Cricetulus griseus: one gene and its partners. The protein of the gene in region 2 purifies or fractionates together with the protein of the main gene of each other region. This does not show direct contact. Links are inferred from orthologs where the notes say so. Each region holds a gene or a part of one and is shown on either strand. Other genes may lie near its edges.

Region 1 (4,411 bases), on a different chromosome or scaffold from region 2:
CCTATCTCAAGAAAATAAGAGAGCCTGGAGAGACAGACAGTCCAGGAGTTAAGAGCACTTGCTGTTCTTCCAGAGGACCCGGGTTCAATTCCCAGAACCCACATGGGGGCTCACAACGGTCTGTAACCACAATTCCAAGGGATCACACACCCTCCCCCTGCCTCCCAAGCACCAGGCACATAAGTGACACACAGACATACATGTAAGCAAAAGACCCATACACATAAAATAAAAAATTAAAAAGAAAAGGAGGGCAGTCCCACCTTTTTAATCCCCAGGCCCAGAGGTGCATACTCTTCAAAGAACTCACCCACTCATCCTGCAAGGCTTTCAGAATGGCTGGGATGCTGGTGGCAGAGGGAGGCTTGGGCCGAATTGGGTGAGCAACTGCCAAGAGAGGCAGCAAAGCAGGTATGAAGAACCAGAACCCCGGGGGCTCACCCCTCCCCCACCCCTCCTTTCTTTATTCATTCACAGCCACCATCTTCTCCACCAGACTGGCTCCTCCTCCCACTCTTGAAGGCTGAGTTGAGCTGGCCCTGGACTTAGGCTATCGGTCGGGCGGGCACCTTTGATGTCGATGAGCTGCTCCTCTGAGAGAGGCTGGTTGTTGATAGGATCTGTGCCATTCTCTGCAATGTACTTCTCAATGAGCCGCCGCTCGTACACATGATTAGAGACAGGGGACACACATGGGTGCTCTGGCACTTCGTTGGAGACTATAGAGAAAGGCAGGTAGTGAACACAGGGTAAAAGGAGGCCTGGGCTAGATTGTATCGGCCCCCACAAGACCCTGTCCTCATACTCAGCTATCAGAAAGCAAGGTCTGTGACAGCAAGCCAGCTGGTACTTGGCCCTAGAATACTTGCCAACTACTTAACTAGGTTCTCTAGTCTGCTGATAATAAAAGCCAGTAAATAATAACTATATGTCAGTCCCATAAAGAGTGGTCAGTATGCCCTGCCATCTCATTTTTGAACAAATATGACTGACTAGGCATATGACAAATAAGTACACACAACTCAAACCCCTGCCATTCGTCTGGAGCCCTAGATGGAACAGGCAGAAAAATTTCTAAGCAATGTGACAAGCACTGATAAATTAAAAAATAAATAAATAAAAAACCTTTCTATAGTGTCTGCTACTGTGTGCCAAGCAAGATTCTATTCTAGGCACTTGACAGAATAGTCTGTGTACCCTTGAAGATGGGCACCACAGCTGTCACTGACCTCCAGGACAATGCAGATACTAAGCAGACACTTGATAAACATCAGAACATGGTACATCCTGGGGCTCAATAAAAAATATCCCAAAGTATGGAGCCTGGTAATGCTGAACTACCAAAAAGGAAGAACTCAAAAGCAAGCTCAGAATCAAGGTCTCTCTGACCTTCTCAGGCCCTCTTGTTTCTCTAACGTCCCCTAAACAGGGACAATTGGTTCACCTCAGCAGACGAGTGAAAGCAACCTCCACACTCAAGACTCTTCTGAGAGAGATTATTTATTGCCCGAGAGACTTATCACGTAACAGAACAGCTCTTATTCACCACATAATTCTGTTTGCCTTCCCACCTGAGGCCTCAAGCTCCTATTCTCTTCTGTGGCACATGGGTCTGTACAAGCTTCCCTTAGAATCACCTATTTTTGCAGGATTCCCATGCATAAGTAATGAAGTATGGGAGGAAACATGGCTTTCCTGTGCTATTCTGTTGGCTTATCTCACTCACATACTCAACCACTGAACACTTGAGTGAGCTTTCCCTCCCCTACAAAAAGGAAGGATGGCCCAGGGCATGTAAGCGTGCTCTCTCAAGATTAAAAGGAAACAAATCGTTCGAAAATACTTTGCAAACTGAAATTTCTTATGTGTGATGTGAATTCCCTTTTCTGTTTGTCATTTCCCTCCTTCCTTTCCCTCTTTGAATTAATGGCAACGTTCTGAGAAGAGAATGGAGAGGGAGGGGAAGCTAGTGATGTGGTAAACAAGAAGGTAAACACCCGCAATGCCGTTAACAAAACACCCAATGACAAGACAGCATACAGTATGGAAAAAGCATGGATCCGGGCTCAAAGAACCGAGCTCCACCGCCCAGCTGTGCCGCACACCCCTGGATAAACCTCATGCTTCCTAAGATTTCTGACGCCCTCTCTAAATCACGGATCTTTATTTCCATTCAGACAATTTTTTTTTGTAAGCATAAAATGGGATCATCGTTTGGAAGTGCGTCGTACATCAATACAGGTCTCCTAAATGGTCGCTGTTTTCATTAGTCATACTGCGCGAGGCTAGAAGCCAGACACCTGGCTTCCAGCCTTGCCTCCAAGTCACTGCGTGATCCCTGCAAATCGCAGACACATCGATGCCTAAGCGACGTTCCCGAGCAATACCCACTGCAACGCTTTCAATGGATGCTGCTGCAGATGGGGAAACTGAGGCCCTGGACCGCTGCTGACCAGGTCACAATCGGAGGCGGATGCTGGACACGTCCTCGGTTTTCCCACACCAGGAGCTGTTTTTCCCTGCACCAACTCCCCCTTCCCACCCCCCCACCCCGTTCAGGCCCGTCTCCGCTCAGTGTAACAACCACAGTCATTCTTCCCAGCTACGTGAATTGCGCGGCACTGCGCAAATGCACCCCGCACGCAGGGCCGCGGGCTCCGGGGCCCCGGCCGCAGCCACGCTCCCGCCTCCCGCCGCAGCCAGCACTCACTCGAGCAGATCAGGGACATGGCGCCGTCGCAGCGCTGCCAGTCGCCTCACAGCGGGCTCCCGGACTAGCTCTGCAGCCTCCGCGGGCCACTTCCGGTCCCCCGCCGCTTCCGGGGCGCTCGGACGCGGGTTAGACAGCTGCCCGGCTTGGCGATGCTCGGACAACTGCTTCACGTGGGGAGGTGGCCGGTGGCGCGCCTCAGCCTTCAGCAGCTAACGGAAACTGCCCTTTCCCAGCATGCAATCGAGCAGGAAAAGGCCCGCCTCGGAACACTCGGCTGTTTCCGCATTGGCTCGGCTCCTTCCGGCGAGCTCACCCAGAGGCCGGAGGCGGGAAGGTCAGTCGAAACTACATTTCCCATGAGGCTGTGGGAACCATAAACCCAGGAATTTGGCCAAGGCTGCTTTTGACGTGGTGCTGCTGTCACCCAGGGCACAGCAGTATATGAGACGGTCGTGTGCAGGACAATTACCTCAGGAGCTTATAAAAATACATATTTCTAGGGTCTGCCTTAGAGAATCTGTGGGCGTGATTCTGAAGCCTGTGTTCCTTGGCCTCTTTTTGAGAAACAATGCCAGGTGACCCTGTGAATAAAGCACAAATGAGTAAAGAAATTAACGCTGCCCAGGTTCTGTCTCTACTCTTATTCTGTGAATTTAGACAAGTCACTGGCTTCGTCGTCTACCACGTCTTAAACACAGTCTCTTTTCTAGACTGGAAGGAATTTAATTCCCAACGTCTTGTGTAGATATTAAAAGAATGGAAATTTTCTGGGCATGCTCATGTATGCCTTTTATCACAGCACTCAGCTGCAGAGGTAAGTGGATCTCTGTGAGTTCAAGGCCAGCCTGGTCTACATAGTAAGTTCCAGGACAGTCTGGGCTATGTAGAAAGACATAGAAACATGTCTCTAAATAAGTAATAAGAATGGAAAGTTAGAGCTGGTCATTGGTGGTGTACACCTTTAATCCCAGCACTCGGGAAGCAGAGGCAGGAGGATCTCTGTGAGTTCGAGGCCAGCCTGGTCTCCAGAGCGAGTGCCAGGATAGGCTCCAAAGCTACACGGAGAAACCCTGTCTCGAAAAAGAAAAAAAAATTGTTTGTGTGTGTGTGTGTGTGTGTGTGTGTGTGTGTGTGTGTGTGTGTGTGTCACAGCACATGTGTGGAGATCAAAGGAGAAATGGTTTACTCCTTCTATCATGTTGATCCTGGGATTGAAGTCAGGTTGTCAGACTTGGCAATAAGTTCCTCTCCCCAGTGAGCTATCTCACCAGCCCAAAGGGTGGTGACATTTTTGATGAGACCTAAATGAAGGACAGGTGTCAGTCCTGAGACCACAGGTTTCTAATGAGCCAACCTCTTCTACAGCCTTACCTCATCTTCTCAGCCATATTCGCCCTTCAATGCCCCCAGAATACTGGCATGTGGAGGCTCAAAATGTTTATGTGGACAGCTTTCATCAATTCCTTTCGCCTCCCTGGCCAAACCCTCCAGTGCAAACCTCAGCCTCATCTTAAGTATAGCCTCTTCTGCAGCCCCTTTCTTGACCTCTCACTGGTTTTTGGAATTCTCCAAAACACTTTTAGTAACTATTGTTTTAATTATTTATTTAGAAAGTCCTTTTAGCACCTGGGTCCTCTACTAGATTGTACTACTCTCTCTACTAGTTCTCAAGAGTCTAAGAGTGTCGCTCAGTGCCTG
Region 2 (3,646 bases):
AAAGGTATAATTAAAGAGCATGGTCTAACTCTGTTCAAATGCATAAAAAGAAACTAGAGAGAGGCTGGAGAGATGGCTCAGTGGTTAAGAGGGGTTCCACAACAGTTTGGTTCCTAGCACCCAGTCAGGCAGCTCACAACTTCTGTAATTCTAGCTCTAGAGGACCCAATGCCCTCTTGTGGCCTCCACAGGCACTACACTCATGTGTACACATATCCACACAGTCACAAATAAAAAGCAACCCCCTGCCTTTGAGACATGTCTCACCATGCAGCATGGCTGGCAGGGAACACACAAGGACCTGCCTACCTTGTGCTGGGATTAAAGTTATGTACCACTACACTTGGCCCAAAAATTAGATCTTCAAAGGAAAGAGGTTAAGAGCACTGCCTGTTCTTCTACAGGACTAGGGTTCAATTCCCAACATATACAGAGCAAACCACAAAAACAAACATAAAAAACATCAAATTTATTAAAGGAAAGAAATGGGAGCTAGCAACCTGGCTCAGCAGGCAAAGGCACCTGCCTCCAAGCCTGACAACCTGAGTTCAACCTCCAGTGTCTAGCTGGTAGAAGAGAATTAACCTCCATGGCATGCCCCATGGCATGAACACTCATAAAACATAGTCAACAAAGATGTCATCTAAAAATAAAAACAAATTAAAGGGGCTGGAGAGATGGCTCAGAGGTTAAGAGCACCGGTTGTTCTTCCAGAGGTTCTGAGTTCAATACCCAGCAACCACATGGTGGCTCACAACCATCCGTAATGAGATCTGGTGCCCTCTTTGGGTGTGCAGATAGACATGGAAGCAGAATAATGTTGTATACATAATAAATAAAATCTTAAAAAAAAAATAAAATAAAAAAACAAATCAAAGGTGGGAAGGGTGAGAACAGAAGGATGAGCAGCTGGACACAGACACCACCACCAGCTGCAAGTGTGACCCAGCCTGACAGCCATGAGACAAAACTCACGAGGGACAGAGACTGGAGGAGGGGGCAAAATTCAGCCATCTTGTGTACTCACCAAGATCACAAAGTCACTTTGAAGGTTCCCTTGGAGCCTCTATTGGATCTGCTGTCACATTCAGGCCCATGATGACCTCAAACTCCCAATCCCTGCCTCAACCTCTAGAATTGCAGGCCACCACCCCTGGCATGAGTTAACGCTGTACATAATACATAGTACAAGGGGTCGTCCTTCTTTCCGTTTCTGGTGCCGGGGATTGAACTCAGGACCTTGAGAGAGTTAGCTAGGTGAGCAGGCTACCACTGAGCCATACCCTCAGCCCTAGACAGGGCTACACTTTTCTCTTGCAGATCCAATTGCGCTGGGATTCCTTAGGGCGTGTTTCCCGACTCTGTTCTGCCCTGTTAGCCCTCTCTATCCATAGGCCAATGACCGTCACCTTGAAGGCTGGAACTCTAGATCCCTCTTCAGTCCTGGAGAACGCTCCAGAATTGTTTCCCTTCTCCTACCATGGGACCCAAGGACGAACTCAAGTTGCTAGGCAAACACTTTTATGATAAAAGCAGAGCTACCACGGTCATGTTGGTTTGCCCTAGATCACTGCTCAGACCCTCAACCTCCTACCCAGCTATGGTGTTTCACCATTGGATTTTCCTCTATGTGGGACATCTTTGCTTATTAACACCGAAAACAACTACTTGTTCTTCATCCTTCCTCCTGCTTGTAGTACTAGGGATTGAATGTAGTGCCTCCTACAGGCTAAATTGTTTTACTTTGTAATCCACTAGTGTCTCTAAATTAGATTTGCCTATTGTTTCTAACAGGAGGGTGACAACTTTTGACTTTCTGTAAAGTCATGGGCGTAGTGCATGTGCATTCTGCCCCCTCCCTTCTCTCTCAAGTAAAGACACACAGAACAAAACCAAAATCAAGGAAAGGGACCCAGGAGACAGGTGTGCAAAAGGACAGACCTTCAAAAGCAACCAAGTGTATGGTGGGGAACAGGCACTCAAAAGAGAACCCCCCATCCACACAGCTCACCGACCCAACAGGACAAGTCCCCTCAGTCTACATCAGGCCACATGGCTGAAGGCCTGACAGTGAAGGACACATTCCTGTGCCCCGGGGCTTACCGGTACAGGCTGGACAGCGCCCACCACGGGGGCAGCTGCCCCACCCTGAACAGCCTTTTTAGCAGCTGGTGTCTCCTGACTCTTGGGCTTCCTCTTCTCTCGTTTGCGGTCCCTCTCCACAAAGGTGCCCTTCATCTTGGCAATGATGTCCGAGTCCGTCTTGGCGTACTGGATGCGCTACCAATCAGAGCAGAAAGGTCAAGGCCAAGGAAATCAGAAGGAACTTCAAGAGTTCAAAATGAGACCTCACGAGGAGCTTGCTAAGAAAAACTAAACTGCTTGGCCACAGGTTCCTCATCTGTAAAATGGGCGTATTTTCCACTTGGCAGGACTGTGGTAGCAACTTAGCAGGTCTAAGTGCCTAGAAGCAGCAGTCCCCTGAATACAGTGAGCAGCTGTTGACTGTAAGCTAGACTAGGTGCTTACAATTCTGCTATGAAGAAGTCAGACATATGCTGGGACACATAAAAATAAAATACTTAATTAAAAAGAAAGAAGTTTTAAAAATATTTGAGACAGGATCTCACTATGTAGCTGGCTGGTCTGGAATTCCCTGTGTAGAACAGGCTGTCCTGGAGGCCCATCTGCCTCTGTCTCCCTAAAATTAAAAGCATGCACTACCATGCCCAGCAACAAATGATTTTATTTTTAAAGTCCCATGCTCAGAAGGGGACCTGGTGCATTGCAAAGTGAACTTTTCAGATCTAACACTTAGGAAAGGGATGGGAAGCAAGCACCACGAGCACATGGAGTGTGCAGCAAGAGAACAGCCAGGAAGCTAAGAGATGAGAAAAGCTGGGCCTGGGACTCCAGCTGCTGGAGACTGAGGCAGAGGGACAGAGAGGGAGAAGACAGGTCACAAGGGCAAAGGGGGACCCTTTGTGCTTTTCTAAGAAGCTGAGGCAGTGCTGTGATGACTGATGGGAGCTCTCAAAAGGCCCCGTGGTTTGCAGATAGGCCCGGGTGGGAGGAGGAGGAGCACGTGGGGAGCCAGGTAACAAAGACAACGTGAGAAGACACTCTGGAGGCATGGAGGAAGAACAGGGCTCAGGGAACCCTCTGCTCACTCTAGTTTGGGCCTGTTTTTGGATGAGTTTTAGACATGCTTGTAAGGATTCGGGCATTATGCTGGCTGCCCCTGTCCCTGCCAGAATTCACTCAGGCAGTACACTGGTCAGCCCAGTTCCATGATTGTTTAGTCAGCGAAGGACCCCTTTAAAAGAAAGACCCCCAGTCCATTTATGCTGTCTTTTCCAGCTCTCTTTGCCCACTCCTCTCTTTCTAGCTGTTCTGCTGGGACAGACAGGACTTTTCCTGTCTCCCTCTTCTCTTCTGACCTCTCTCTGTCTCTTTACCCAAGCCTGTCAGGGCGTGGTCAAGGTGGAGACAGGATGATGTGTTTTTAAGGGGCTGCAAGGCACATGGGGGCCCCTTTTCTGGCCTGCCTGTCTTGCTGCCCCTGGCACGCTCTGGCTTGCATTTGGCTGGTGTTTATCTGAATAAAGATATCTTAACCTTACAGACTACAGGTCATCTCGATATA
Region 3 (3,646 bases), on a different chromosome or scaffold from region 2:
GTGTAATCACATTGCCTGTGCCTGGTACATTGTCCTGCAGATGTGCAGATTAAAGGGCTAAAGGTCTTATGACTGACAGGGACTTCAGAGAGGTTGCTTTCACCTCATCTCATATGCCATCATGATGTTATTAGCGCATGCAACCAATTTACAAAGGTTTTGACGCTTATAAGGCTGACTTCCAGAGTGATTGCTGCAATATGCTGCACTGTGTGACTTAGTTTAGTTTAGTTGTGTGATGTTTCTAAGTGGTTTTCAAACATAGCTGTGTATCTTCTCATCTGAAATGTTCATCGCCTCATTTGTGAAGCACATGTGGTTCTATGACAGACTTACAAACTATTCCTCCATTTCTCTTTCTTCTTTCCTCCATTTTCTTAATTTTTTAGTCAGTGCTTTGAGAGAGGCTGTTTTCAGGACAAGTGTCTTATATATGAACAGCTTATCCTATGCCCTGTAAGAGTCAGTTGTGTGTTTGCATTGCAGAAACTTTTTAGAAACGTCAGAGGTTTAGTTTTTTGAAGTTGGGTAATTATTAAAAGACAGTATTATTTCATTTTGCAAATGAGATTGTCCAAAGGTACCTGTTTTCCTCTGAATATCAATTTTGTTTTGTTTTGTTTTAGTGAGTACAGCTCCACAGCAAAAACCTGTAAGTATTTTACATGTATATTCAGCAAAAGAGACTATTCAGTGTTGAGCTTCACAAACTATGTAGCAAATGTTCTAATCTTTATTAATTTAAAAGTTGGCATGTTTATAAATGCTCTGTTCTCCCTCTCCCCAAAAAAGCTTGACTTTTTGTGTGGGACTAGTCAAAGCTATTATAAGACCAGTCTCTTCCTGTGCTCCCTGGGCTGCATTTGGCCAAGTTCAGTGAATTGCAAGGTTTTAGATTAAGTTTAAAAGAACCGTTTTAAAATTACTTCTGCTTGGCCTCCAAGTATCTTCTTTGACAAAACCCTTTTAATTTTTTTATAGTTAGCTGTGTAAGTGAGCATTATATATTCTGTGGATGTGCTGTCTTAAAAGAGAAGTCAAGTCTGGTGAATTGTTGCCAGAAAATCCAAATCACTTTTCTTTTTCTTTTTCTTTTTTTGGTTTTTTGAGACAGGGTTTCTCTATGGCTTTGGAGGCTGTCCTGGAACTCGCTCTTGTAGACCAGGCTGGTCTGGAACCCACAGAGATCCGCCTGCCTCTGCCTACTAAGTGCTGGGACTAAAGGCATGTGTCACTACTGCCCGTCGCAAATCACTTTCATAGTTTTACCCTGATCTAAGGATTTGGGCTTATGGGTCTTTGAAACTTTAAAGGTATTCATTGCCAGTATTTTCTAAGACATATGGCTGTAGCTGAAGGTAGGCAAAACTGTGGCTTTTCTTTTTTTGTCCTTTTATATTATATGTTTATTCCTGAAAGTTCATGTTATATTGCCTATCAGTCACAGCTTGGTATTAAGAGCCAAATGCAGACAGTGCTGTTTGCCACCTGTCTTGGTAGGTGTTTGTTTTTGTTGTTAAGAGTGAGAGTCATTCTGGATATAGGCAGCAGCAAAGAAAGGTTGCAAGAGATTCTTGTTCAAGGTGCTCGGTTCTAGACTTTCTAATGGAAGTTATGCCCCCTTAATGGCAAGACCAACAACATGAGCACAATCCTATCCTAAGGTAGAGTTTGTGATCATAACTGAGTATGATATGAAAAAGCAGAGTTGGAATTTGCCGTGTTGCCAGCACTTACACTCCTAAACAATGTTTTAAGAAGCAGCACCTAACCTATGGTACTTTCTTTACCATGTTGTAGATAGGAAAAATATCTAAAAACAAAAAGAAAAAGCTGAAAAAGAAACAGAAGAGGCAGGCTGAGTTGCTGGAGAAACGCCTGCAGGAGATCGAGGAATTGGAGCGAGAAGCTGAAAGGAAAACCATAGAGGAAAGTGTTACCACTGCCGAGCCATCCAATGAGCAAGATGATGGGTGTCACCTGGAGGGGAAACTAAAGGAAGCAGAATTCGAGGAGGCAGCTGAAGGAGAGATAGCAAAGGATAATGGTTAGTACAACTGGGAGCAGGGGGGAGGGCTAATGGGTGGGTGTCATGGAACTGCACGAAAGGCCCAGCCAGTGTGCCACACAGGTTGGCTTCATGCTGCTGCCTCAGATGTTAAGGACAACTTTCTCTAACTCTTGTTGGAGATTATGGGAAGCAGCCTATACGCCATCGGTAAAATGTATGCTAGGCATTATGTTGACATTTCAAAGTAGGTTTTCAAAAAGGGAAGAAGAAAGTCCAAGAAACATGTTTTTTTCCTGTTAATGATGCCCCTTATTTTATTTTGTGACTGACCTTTTGCCTAGCTTTAATACACCACAAACCTTATTCTAAAGCTGTAGAGGAAAGGGTTAGTGACTCAAAAAAATGGATCAGTGTTCCTGCAGAGGAACCAAGTCCGGTTCCCGCAGCACTTGTGTCCTGTTGCTCACAACTCCCTGTGACTCCAGCTCTAAGGCCATAGGCATGCGCGCGCGCGCGCGCGCGCGAGCACACACACACACACACACACACACACACACACACACACACACACACACACACAATTTACAGTGAAAATCTTAAAGATCAAGTACAATAACCATCTGAGGAAAGCAGTGGGGAGGGTTTGAAATGAAAATCCAGTTTTGCTTAGCATTTTACCCCCCAAACCAACTTGTTCCTGAAAATATAAGGCTAATTATTAAATAAGCAAAAAATAGGGTTTAGAAAGCCATTTTTGCCTTTTAAACCAATAGACATGTTCTGTGGTATATTAGAAGCATCTCTTAGTTGGGTATGATAGCAGATGCCTTTAATCCCAGCACTTAGAAGGCAGAGGCAGGTGGATCTCTTAAGCCTGGTCTACAAAGAGAATTCCAGATCAGCCAGAGCTACAGAGAGAAACCTGTCTGGAAAAACTAAAACCAGAAAAATACAAAGCAAAGTATGTCTTGTTGAAGAAGCTAACTAGTACTGCTTTGCAAGGAGAGTCATGACTCCTAATTTTAACCCTATGTTTGTTAAGGTGAAGCTGAAGACCAGGAAGAAAAAGAAGATGCAGAGAAGGAAAATGCTGAGAAGGATGAAGATGATGTTGAACAGGAACTTGAAAACCTAGACCCTACATGGATGGAGTCCCCTAAAGCCAATGGCCATATTGAAAATGGTCCATTTTTATTGGAACAGCAGCTGGAGGATGAAGATGATGATGAAGATGACTGTGCAAATCCTGAGGAATATAACCTAGATGAGCCAAATACAGAGAGTGATTATACGTATGGCAGCTCCTATGAACAGTTCAATGGTGAATTGCCAAATGGACAACACAAGAGTCCAGAGTTTTCCACATCATTGTTTTCTGGGCCCTTAGAACCTGTGGCCTGTGGTTCTGTGCTTTCAGAGGGATCACCACTTACTGAGCAAGAGGAAAGTAGCCCATCCCATGACAGAAGCAGGACAGTTTCAGCCTCTAGTACTGGAGATTTGCCAAAAAGTAAGTGTCCTTGTATCTCTCTCTCTGTTTTCACTGAGCAGGGTCATACCTTTGATAAACACTGTGAAAAGAGTTGGCTAAAGGGGAAGAGACACTTTAAATATGCACTAATCCTTTAATTTCAG

Evidence for each region.
Region 1: the proteins of Snrpa (region 2) and Prpf19 fractionate together in Homo sapiens (co-fractionation; 3 studies listed by BioGRID and IntAct, with this or other methods). This does not show direct contact. The link is inferred for Cricetulus griseus from reciprocal best matches to the Homo sapiens genes SNRPA and PRPF19.
Region 3: the proteins of Snrpa (region 2) and Srpk2 purify together in Homo sapiens (affinity purification with mass spectrometry; 4 studies listed by BioGRID and IntAct, with this or other methods). This does not show direct contact. The link is inferred for Cricetulus griseus from reciprocal best matches to the Homo sapiens genes SNRPA and SRPK2.

Annotation. Positions count from the first base shown.
Region 1 is NC_048596.1:49,556,581-49,560,991, forward strand, and holds the start of Prpf19 (pre-mRNA-processing factor 19), read right to left. Parts: upstream 2,934-4,411; 5' UTR 2,730-2,933; coding exon 2,711-2,729; intron 720-2,710; coding exon 570-719; intron 388-569; coding exon 311-387; intron 1-310. UniProt on the Homo sapiens protein: Ubiquitin-protein ligase which is a core component of several complexes mainly involved pre-mRNA splicing and DNA repair. Required for pre-mRNA splicing as component of the spliceosome.
Region 2 is NC_048602.1:8,728,963-8,732,608, reverse strand, and holds part of Snrpa (U1 small nuclear ribonucleoprotein A), read right to left. Parts: intron 2,281-3,646; coding exon 2,104-2,280; intron 1-2,103. UniProt on the Homo sapiens protein: Component of the spliceosomal U1 snRNP, which is essential for recognition of the pre-mRNA 5' splice-site and the subsequent assembly of the spliceosome. U1 snRNP is the first snRNP to interact with pre-mRNA.
Region 3 is NW_023276806.1:171,083,153-171,086,798, forward strand, and holds part of Srpk2 (SRSF protein kinase 2), read left to right. Parts: intron 1-626; coding exon 627-652; intron 653-1,800; coding exon 1,801-2,047; intron 2,048-3,053; coding exon 3,054-3,521; intron 3,522-3,646. UniProt on the Homo sapiens protein: Serine/arginine-rich protein-specific kinase which specifically phosphorylates its substrates at serine residues located in regions rich in arginine/serine dipeptides, known as RS domains and is involved in the phosphorylation of SR splicing factors and the regulation of splicing.